Nothobranchius furzeri: one gene and its partner. The protein of the gene in region 2 purifies or fractionates together with the protein of the main gene of each other region. This does not show direct contact. Links are inferred from orthologs where the notes say so. Each region holds a gene or a part of one and is shown on either strand. Other genes may lie near its edges.

Region 1 (4,596 bases), on a different chromosome or scaffold from region 2:
ACAGCTCCTCTCCTCTCTTCACTCGGGTGTCCAAAACATACGGCCGCAGGTCAGATGATACGACTACAAAGTCTATCATCGACCTGCGACCTAGGCTGCCCTGGTACCAAGTGTACCGATGGGCATCCTTATGTTCGAACATGGTGTTCATTATGGCCAAACTGCGGCTTGCACAGAAGTCCAATAACGAAACACCACTCCAGTTCAGATCAGGCGGGCCGTTCCTCCCAATCACACCCCTCCAGGTCATGCTGTCATTGCCCACGTGAGCATTGAAGTCCCCCAGCAGGACAATGGAGTCCCCTGATGGAGCACTATCTAGCACTCGTCCCAGGGACTCCAAAAAGGGTGAGTACTCTGAACTGATATTTGGCCCATAAGCACAAACAACAGTCAGGACCCGTTCTCCGACCCGAAGGCGCAGGGAAGCAACCCTCTCGTCCCCCGGGGTAAACCCCAACACACAGGCAGAGAGTCTTGGGGCTAACAAAAAGCCAACCCCAGCCCTCTGCCTCTCACCCGGAGCAACTCCAACAAAGGAGAGTGTCCAACCCCTCTCAAGAACTTGGATTTCAGAGCCAATGCTATAGTAAGCCACCTGGAACCCAAGCCACATATGTGTCGAGGTGAGTCCGACTATATCTAGCCGGTACCGCTCAACCTCTGCCACAAGCTCCTGCTCCTTCCCCGCCAGCGAGGTGACGTTCCATGTCCCAATAACCAGTTTCCTTGTCCGGGGATCGGACCGCCAAGGCTCCTGCCTCAGTCTGCCACCCGATCCACATTGCACCGGACCCTTCATGTTCCTCCTGCGGGTGGTGGGTCCACAGTTGGATGAGCCCATATATCCGGTTCGAGCTGGACTCAGCCGGGCCCCATGGGCAAAAGCCCGGCCACCAGGCGCTCGCCCACGGGCCCCAACCCCAGGCCTGGCTCCTGGGTGGGACCCCGGTAACCCTCCAGGCCGGGTACTCGACTCTTTGTTTTTACGTCCATGAAAGATCTTCTGAACCGTTCTTTGTCTCACCCTTCACCTAAGACCCATTTGTCATGGTAGACCCTACCAGGGGTATCATATAAACAATGATGTAAAATAAATCTCGAAGATTAAGCTTTTGTATATAAATCCCCAAAAGCACCTCAGTGCTTCCGAGCATTTCCTTCTTATTAGGTCGACAACTAATGTGCAATATACACTAAACCCAGGATTTATTAAACTACTGATCTTCCTCCAACTTATTTTCTTGCAGTGTTAAAATGACAAAAATAAACTTCAGTCATTAACCAATCTGTGCTTAGTTTTAACATGTGTTTAAAAAGAAGTTTGCATTCATTCAGAGTCTCGACATATAAAAGAAAGTTGAAAAAGATTTTAAAAGTAAAGAAAGTTACATGGGAAGGAGAAAAAACTAATTAGAATATTCCACACACCTACAACGGTGTGAGATCAGTGAGAAACTTCTTGAACAAAACCTATAAGATAACTATTGTATATGTAATCGTGGGATTTATTAATACAATGTCACTTTGTGGATTTATAAATCCATTGTTGTTACCTGCATATCTGTTAGAGCTGCTGCGCCTGCAAAAACAACCAATAGGAAAGGAGATTCCTCTGCTCAGTGCTCTGGACCAATAAGAATACGAAGAGAAGGTGGGTTGTCATTTAGACGCTCTCTGATTGGTGGATCCTGTACGTGGGCGTGCGTAAGCTTTTTACTCGCGTAGAATCGGGAACGAGGAAGTAAAAAAACGAGCGAGGAAAAGTGAAGCAGAAAACTGGAGTCTGAGCTCGACTGTCATTTAGACACTTCTTACCTCGCCGTCACTTTACTCGGATACCACGATGGCTAAGTAAGTTTGAACTGATTCAGATGGTGAACATGTTAACTAGTAGTACTCGCTCGTAGTCGTTTCGTCTGTTTTTGAAGGTAGCTGATATATCAGTTAGCCTACCTGCTGTTGTTCGTCTTGTGTAGGTGTTTATCTTTTGTTTTGAGTGGAAATACGTTTAACGTGGAATCTGAACTTGGTGTGACCTACCGAGTAATCGCTATGGACTCTGTGAAATGAAGTGAAGTTTCAGGTTGACTTAAAGGTCTATGATTAAGATTACAACAACAAAAAGAAATCATAATCCTTTTAAAGAAGATTTACTAGTCTGTTCCGTTAGGGAACCTGTTGGCACGCGCCCATCGGGCCCTCTGAGTACATGTGATTTGTGTTCACAGAGCAGACATCGCACTGATTGGTCTGGCTGTCATGGGCCAGAACCTCATCATGAACATGAACGATCATGGCTTTGTGGTAAGACCTCCACTCCAGTTTGTTTACACTTCCATCGGGTACCACTCCTCTTCTTTTGTCTTGCTGAGCTTAGCCTGTCCAACAGGTCTGTGCGTACAACCGAACCGTGTCCAAGGTGCACGACTTCCTGCAGAATGAGGCAAAGGGCTCCAAGGTGATCGGAGCTGAGTCTCTGGAGGACATGGTGTCTAAGCTGAAGAAGCCCAGGAGGATCATCCTGCTGGTCAAGGCTGGGCAGGCTGTGGACGACTTCATTGACAAACTGGTTTGTGCCAAACTGCTGTAAAACTACATTTAGTGAACTTCTGATTTACTGACTTATTTACACTTTCTCAGGTTCCTCTTCTAGAAGCTGGGGACATCATCATCGACGGCGGCAACTCTGAATACAGAGACACAACAGTAAGTCTCTGAGGTTCATTTTTTGACAGAAAAGACTTGTTTACCTGTGTGTATATTTGTACCTTTTTTATGTGGTTGTTGCTCGCAGCGTCGGTGTAAGAGTCTGAAAGAGAAGGGCTTGCTGTTTGTTGGGAGCGGAGTGAGTGGTGGAGAGGAGGGAGCACGCTACGGACCCTCACTCATGCCAGGAGGACATAAAGAGGCCTGGTGAGTAATGAAAACGATCAGTAGAGATTTATTTGTTTATTTGTGTAAAACTGATAAAAATGAACATTTGATGTCACCGATGCCAAGGCCGCACATTAAAGACATCTTCCAGAGCATCGCTGCCAAGGTTGGAACAGGAGAGGCGTGTTGTGACTGGGTGAGTGCAGCATTTTTGCCTGTTTTCTTAACAAGTTGTTCCTGGTTAGATCTTATGATATTATGTGGCAGGTTGGAGATGAAGGTGCAGGTCATTTTGTAAAAATGGTCCATAATGGCATCGAGTATGGAGACATGCAGCTGATCTGTGAGGCCTACCACCTAATGAAGGATGTTCTGGGGATGGACCACGATGAGATGGCACAGGTGAGATTGTCAAAACATTATTTTTATACAACATCAAATATGGCTGACTGACTTTGATCCTCTCAGGCTTTTGATAGCTGGAACAAGACGGAGCTGGACTCCTTCCTGATTGAGATCACAGCCAACATCCTTAAATACAGAGACACCGATGGCGCACATCTGCTGCCCAAAATCCGGGACAGCGCTGGACAGAAAGGCACGGGGAAGTGGACGGCCATTTCCGCCCTGGAGTACGGCACGCCCGTCACTTTGATTGGTAGGAGAAATAAAGCTTTTACACACGGAAGTATCTAGTTTCTTTCCTTTTCTGGTAGTGCTGCTCTCAGAAAGTTTAGTTCCTTATGATAAGAAGAATGCCTTATACCACACCTTAAAAAGATTACAACATCAGCTAATGAAAGGCCAGTAATGACCAGATTTGTTCTTAACCAACACAAAGCTGTTAAAGGCGCCGCTTGTACAAAATGTTTCATTGTGTGTACTGGTCCAGCCAACATGGAGCAGCATGCATGGGTGGATTTCAGAGTAAAACTGGGACAGTTTGTCTTTCATCATCTGACCGGACAGTTTTTGCAAGTCATGCTGACTGATCTGGTATCCTTCTGTTCATTCAGAGGGGCGAGGATGTATGGCTTTTTTAATGAAGTAAGTGATGAGCTTCTTTTGTTGCTCAGAATGAGGATTTCATGTTTAAATGGGAAACAGAAAAAAAAGTCCATACCTGCTCCCTACTCGTGAGTAGCTTAGATGAATGTAGGAGTGTTTAAAATGGGTCCCATCTCACCAGTCCTGCAATAACCACATCAACTTCCTGTTTGTGAAAGGATGGATCTAAAACTGTTGGTTTTGGGTCTAGATGCATCTCCGTTACTTGTCTGAACCAGACATGTTTTACCCAGAACCAGAACTCCCAAACCCAGGAACTAACTCACTAAAAAGATGTGCAGAGACTTGTTCCTCTAAATCAGGATAGGAAAACACATAGATTTACTCCGTGTATGAACAGTGCTAAACAAATAAAGTTGCCTTGCCTTAAAAACGGTTAGAAAAAATGCTGAGTCATGCTGATTCAATGTTTTGGCGTTATCCTGCATGTCGTCTTTCTTTGCTATGCTGTTTGTTGGTTTTTGTGGGACAAATGCAAACATGTCCACCCGTGTTTATCTGTTTTCTCCCATCTCTCTCTCTCTCAGGGGAGGCCGTCTTCGCCAGATGCTTGTCGTCTTTGAAGGATGAGAGGGTTCAGGCCAGCCGCAGCCTCTCAGGACCGCAGGGGGTCAAATTCAGCGGCAACAAGGCTACGTTTCTGGAGGACAT
Region 2 (4,648 bases):
CAACCTTATTTATGATACGGACCGCTCTTTTTTGCAATATATAAAGAGGCTGTAAGGAGCATTGATTATTATTCCCCCATACCTCAGCACCATAAGTAAAATAAGGGAGAACTAAGGAGCAATACAATACACGAAGTGTGTTGCAATCAAGAAATGACTTGGCTTTATTTATTATCGATAGACTTTTTGAGATTTTTTGTTTTGTGTGTCTGATGTGAGGTTTCCATGACAGTTTACTGTCTATTGTGATTCCCAAAAATATGCTTTCTTGTACCATTTCAATTTGAAAACCATCTATATTTATTGGCAACTCAAACTTTGTTTCTTGATTACCAAATTTTTATTGCTTTAGTCTGGTTTAAATTTAATGACAACTTATTGCTGTCCATCCATCTTTTAACAACAATCAATTCTTCATTTATTTTTTAATAAGATTTGGATAATTGTCACTGCTATAAAATATGTTTGTATCATCTGCAAATAAAATAAATTTTTGTGATGTAGATGTTTCAAAAATATCATTAATGTGCAAATTGAACAGACTAGGTCCCAGTACTGATCCCTGGGGTACACCACAAGCAATGTCAAGATTTTTTGACGCTTTCTGTCCAATATTAATATACTGTACCCTTCCACTTAAATAACTTCTTACCCAGTTCAATGCCACTCCTATTTTTATGTATAATCTCCATTCAACGTTACATTAAATAGCTTTCTCATTCTGATTTGTCAGGAACGTATCTGAACAGAGCTCTTATATACACTGCTGAAAAAAGGGAACACAAAAATAAGACATTCTAGATCTGAATGAAACATTCTTAATATTAAATACTTGTTAAATACTTATTAATACAGCCCATGGAGGTCTGGATTTGGAGTCACACTAAAAATTAAAGTAGAAAAACAAACTGATCCAATTTTGATTTACTGTGTTTAAAACAAGTCAAAATGAGGCTCAGTAGTCTGGGTGGCCTCCGCATGCCTGTACGAGCTTCCTACAATGCCTGGGCAGGCTCCTGATGAAGTGGCGGATGGCTTCCTGAGGGATCTCCTCCCAGACGTGGACTAAACCATCCACCAGCATTGACGGATGGAGGGAGACGTGATGTCCCAGATGTGCTCAATTTGATTCAGGTCTGGAGGCCAGTCCATAGCATCAATGCCTTGGTTTTGCAAGAACTGCATACACACTCCAGTCACGAGATCTAGCATCGTCCTGCATTAGGAGGAACCCAGGGCCAACTGCACCAGCATATGGTCTCACAAGGGGTCTGAGGACCTCATGTCAGTATCTAATGGCAATCAGGCTACTTCTAGTGAGCACATGGAGGGCTGTGTGGTCCCCCAAAGAAATGCCACTCCACACCATTACTGACCCACTGCCAAAGCGGTCGTGATGGACGACGTTGCAGGCAGCAGAACGTTCTCCATGGCATCTCCAGACTCTGTCACATGTGCTCAGTGTGAATCTGCTTTCATCTGTTAAGAGCACATGGCGCCAGTTGCGAATTTGCAAATGTTGGTGTTCTCAGGAAAATGCTAAACGTCCTGCATGGCGTTGGGCTGTAAGCACAACCCCCACCAGCCCCCAGCTCACACTGATGTGCCATCCTGGATGAGCTGCACTACCTGAGCCACTTGTGTGGGTGGGTTGTAGAATCTATCTCATGCTATCACTAGGGTGAGAGCACTGCCAGCATTCAAAAGTGACCAAAACATCAGCCAGAAGACATGAACTGAGCAGTGGTCAGTGGTCACCACCTGTAACAGTTCTCCTCTATTAGGGATGTCTTGCTATTTGCCTATAATTTCCACCTGTTGTCTATTTCATTTGCACAATAACATGTGAAATTGTCAATCGGTGTTGCTTCCTGAGAGGAGTTTGATTTGTGTGACTGACTTGGAGTTACATTGTGTTGTTGCCTTATGTGTCCTTTAGCTCTGAATCAGAGCAATCTGTGATACGTGTCAGGAAGTGCAGCACGTTTTGACCTGAACTGAAAGGAGGTGGGTTGATTTAGTGGTGATAAAAACCAAAGTGACATCAGATTTGTTTGTTGAGTGTGTTTGTTTACTGTTGTGTAATGTATCTGATTTTTCCTTCATTCTATGAGAAAATATCACTTAAACACAAAGCTATCAATGGAAACAAAGGAATCAAATAATAGTTAAGCGGGAGGATAATCAAAATATATCACATTTATCTTTTTGTATTCTAAAATATAAATCACATTCGCTATCAGATTCTATATTTTACTCATTTAGAAACTCAAATTCTGTATATTAAATTTGATGTTATTGTATGTTTGAAACTAGTAAACCGAGATATAAACAAAACTTTGTGAATAGTTGTCATGCAATAGTATTATTATGGCACGCTGAAAAACACTGATACAATACAGAATGTTTTATTTGTTGTCACTCACACACACACACACACACACACACACACCACTAAAATGATGAAAAATCATTAGGATAGTAGATAACTGTCAGAAGCATTACAATAGTTTCTATGGTTTAAAAATGATTTTGAGAGATTTTTTTCCCCCATTTTACACAAATTATCTGTATGGATTATATCTGCAGTTCACTGGGATTATTTTGGTCAGGTTATTAATAATACTACTAATAATAAAAATAAATTAAAAATGTAGCTCCAACTTTTTCTGCTGCCCACAGTTAAAAAAAAGCTAGTATTAAGAATTTATGACATTAAAGTAATCCAAAAACATACAATTTTACATCTAGAAGAGCTGTTAATAATCGTCCTAACACTATCCTGTCACCTTTAGCCTATATGGTGACGAAGTGTCAACTCACCTGATCTGGCATGTACAGTTTTACAGTACATTTGTAATTTCAGCATTAGCTGCAGGTCATTCATTGATGGTATACAACATAGCAAGAAAACGAGCGAAAATGTCCTACTTTTTGCTTTATTTACACTCAGTTTGCTGCTTTCTAAATGCTGAACTGAAGCGTTCGTTTACCTCTGAGAAGAGCCATGGTGTTGGTTCAACAATCCGCTTCAGCCAAAATCAAAGTTTTAAACAGATATCTTGCTGTTGCACTCTGCAAGCTGCTCACGAGCGTAGAAAGAGCCACTGCGACCTTTCACCCAAATAAAGCATTGGCTAATTTGTCGCTCACACAGACAGATTCAACAAAAAATATCTACATCAAGATTTAATATGAGCTTATTATAACGTAAAAGTTTCATTAAATACTTTTAATATCTTATAGATCATAAAAAAACGTCATGTGAATTTTTTTAAATTATATTTGTGTTTTCAAAAACTCTGAATCTGCGTTCGAGAAACTTGAAATCTTACGGTGGGTCACGTCATATTCGTGCGACATTTCAGCTGTGTTCGGTCCACATTGACATCGGGCAAATGACCTGTGAACGTTTTTGTTTAGTTTTTCACTCGGATTTTGGTTTTTAATTAAACCTACGTCCTATTAAACATGCATTTTGAATTTTCTCGATGTCTCTGCAGGGTTTTGTCCCGACACGCTGCTCCTTCACGGTAATAACGGTGAAAAGTGACGTGTCCTCCAATGAATGTTTTAGTATAGACTAGAGAAATTGTGATAAACTTGATCTGTGACTAAAATTACTCATTAACGCTGATGGGCGGCTGACTCTTATTCTTCTGAGTTTGTTTGTATTATTTTGCAGCGTCCTGTTGGGACAGCATAAACAAGCTATACAAAGTCCCTGGTTTTCACCTGTGGTCACCCTGAAAACATCTGCTCCACTGAGGTAGGATGAGACGAGCTGATTTTATAACACACCAACTTCTATGTCACTAATACACGACTTAAAACTGCTTATCTAGCCCTTGCTGTACATTTTCAATACACTATCTTTACCTTTTTTAATTTTCTCACAGATTGAAAACTAAAATGTTCCTTTAATTCCATAAATCAAATGATAGTTTCACAAACTCTGTCTGCCTTTGTTGTTTGTGGCCCACGTGTTCAAATATGGAAAAAATCCCATCTAACCCTAAACTTGTGGAAATTTTAGTAAAGCAGCAGAATACAGAACATTATAAAATGTGTATGCAAACAGTTACTATTACATTTGTGCTGAGTGTATTACTTATCAATGATTGAAAATAAAAAAAACCTGTGAATGAAATGCACTAACATAAAATCACGGTTTGTGTTGCACCAGAGCGGAGCAAAGAAAGAAGAAGAAAGTTGACCCACGGAGGGAACAGATGGCGAGGGAGCGGCTGAAGAAAAGGCTGAAAAAGATGGAGAAAGTACCGCCTGAGCTCATTCCCATAGAGGACTTTATGACATCAACCAAGTGTTTGGACGAAACACGGTAAAAATAATTCACTGTTCTTCAGCAATGGCAACTCCTAGGCAGTAAAACCAAATTAGATGATTGAATATTTGTTCAACGTTGGAGTTTTGATTTTACCTCTCTGTATTTATTCTTACAGAGTGCGCCCTGCTCCAAGGCTTTCATTCGAAGAGAGTGAAAGTCGAGCTCTCCTGTTGAAAGAATGGAGTCGATACAAACAGGTTAACATGTATTTCATCTCCTTATGTGTAAGATTTGATATAAAATGTTCATTTGACTTATTCTCTGCAAGATGCTTAGTTATAATGAAGTATGTCTTTTGTT

The links.
Region 1: the proteins of acaa2 (region 2) and pgd fractionate together in Homo sapiens (co-fractionation; 3 studies listed by BioGRID). This does not show direct contact. The link is inferred for Nothobranchius furzeri from reciprocal best matches to the Homo sapiens genes ACAA2 and PGD.

Annotation. Positions count from the first base shown.
Region 1 is NC_091755.1:29,354,844-29,359,439, forward strand, and holds the start of pgd (6-phosphogluconate dehydrogenase, decarboxylating), read left to right. Parts: upstream 1-1,713; 5' UTR 1,714-1,846; coding exon 1,847-1,854; intron 1,855-2,231; coding exon 2,232-2,307; intron 2,308-2,392; coding exon 2,393-2,572; intron 2,573-2,643; coding exon 2,644-2,709; intron 2,710-2,797; coding exon 2,798-2,916; intron 2,917-3,003; coding exon 3,004-3,073; intron 3,074-3,144; coding exon 3,145-3,279; intron 3,280-3,345; coding exon 3,346-3,535; intron 3,536-4,472; coding exon 4,473-4,596. UniProt on the Homo sapiens protein: Catalyzes the oxidative decarboxylation of 6-phosphogluconate to ribulose 5-phosphate and CO(2), with concomitant reduction of NADP to NADPH.
Region 2 is NC_091757.1:55,590,577-55,595,224, reverse strand, and holds the start of acaa2 (3-ketoacyl-CoA thiolase, mitochondrial), read right to left. Parts: upstream 3,147-4,648; 5' UTR 3,010-3,146; coding exon 2,994-3,009; intron 1-2,993. Other genes in the region: mrpl40 (large ribosomal subunit protein mL40), read left to right, coding at 3,472-3,533, 3,686-3,769, 4,187-4,342, 4,464-4,545. UniProt on the Homo sapiens protein: In the production of energy from fats, this is one of the enzymes that catalyzes the last step of the mitochondrial beta-oxidation pathway, an aerobic process breaking down fatty acids into acetyl-CoA.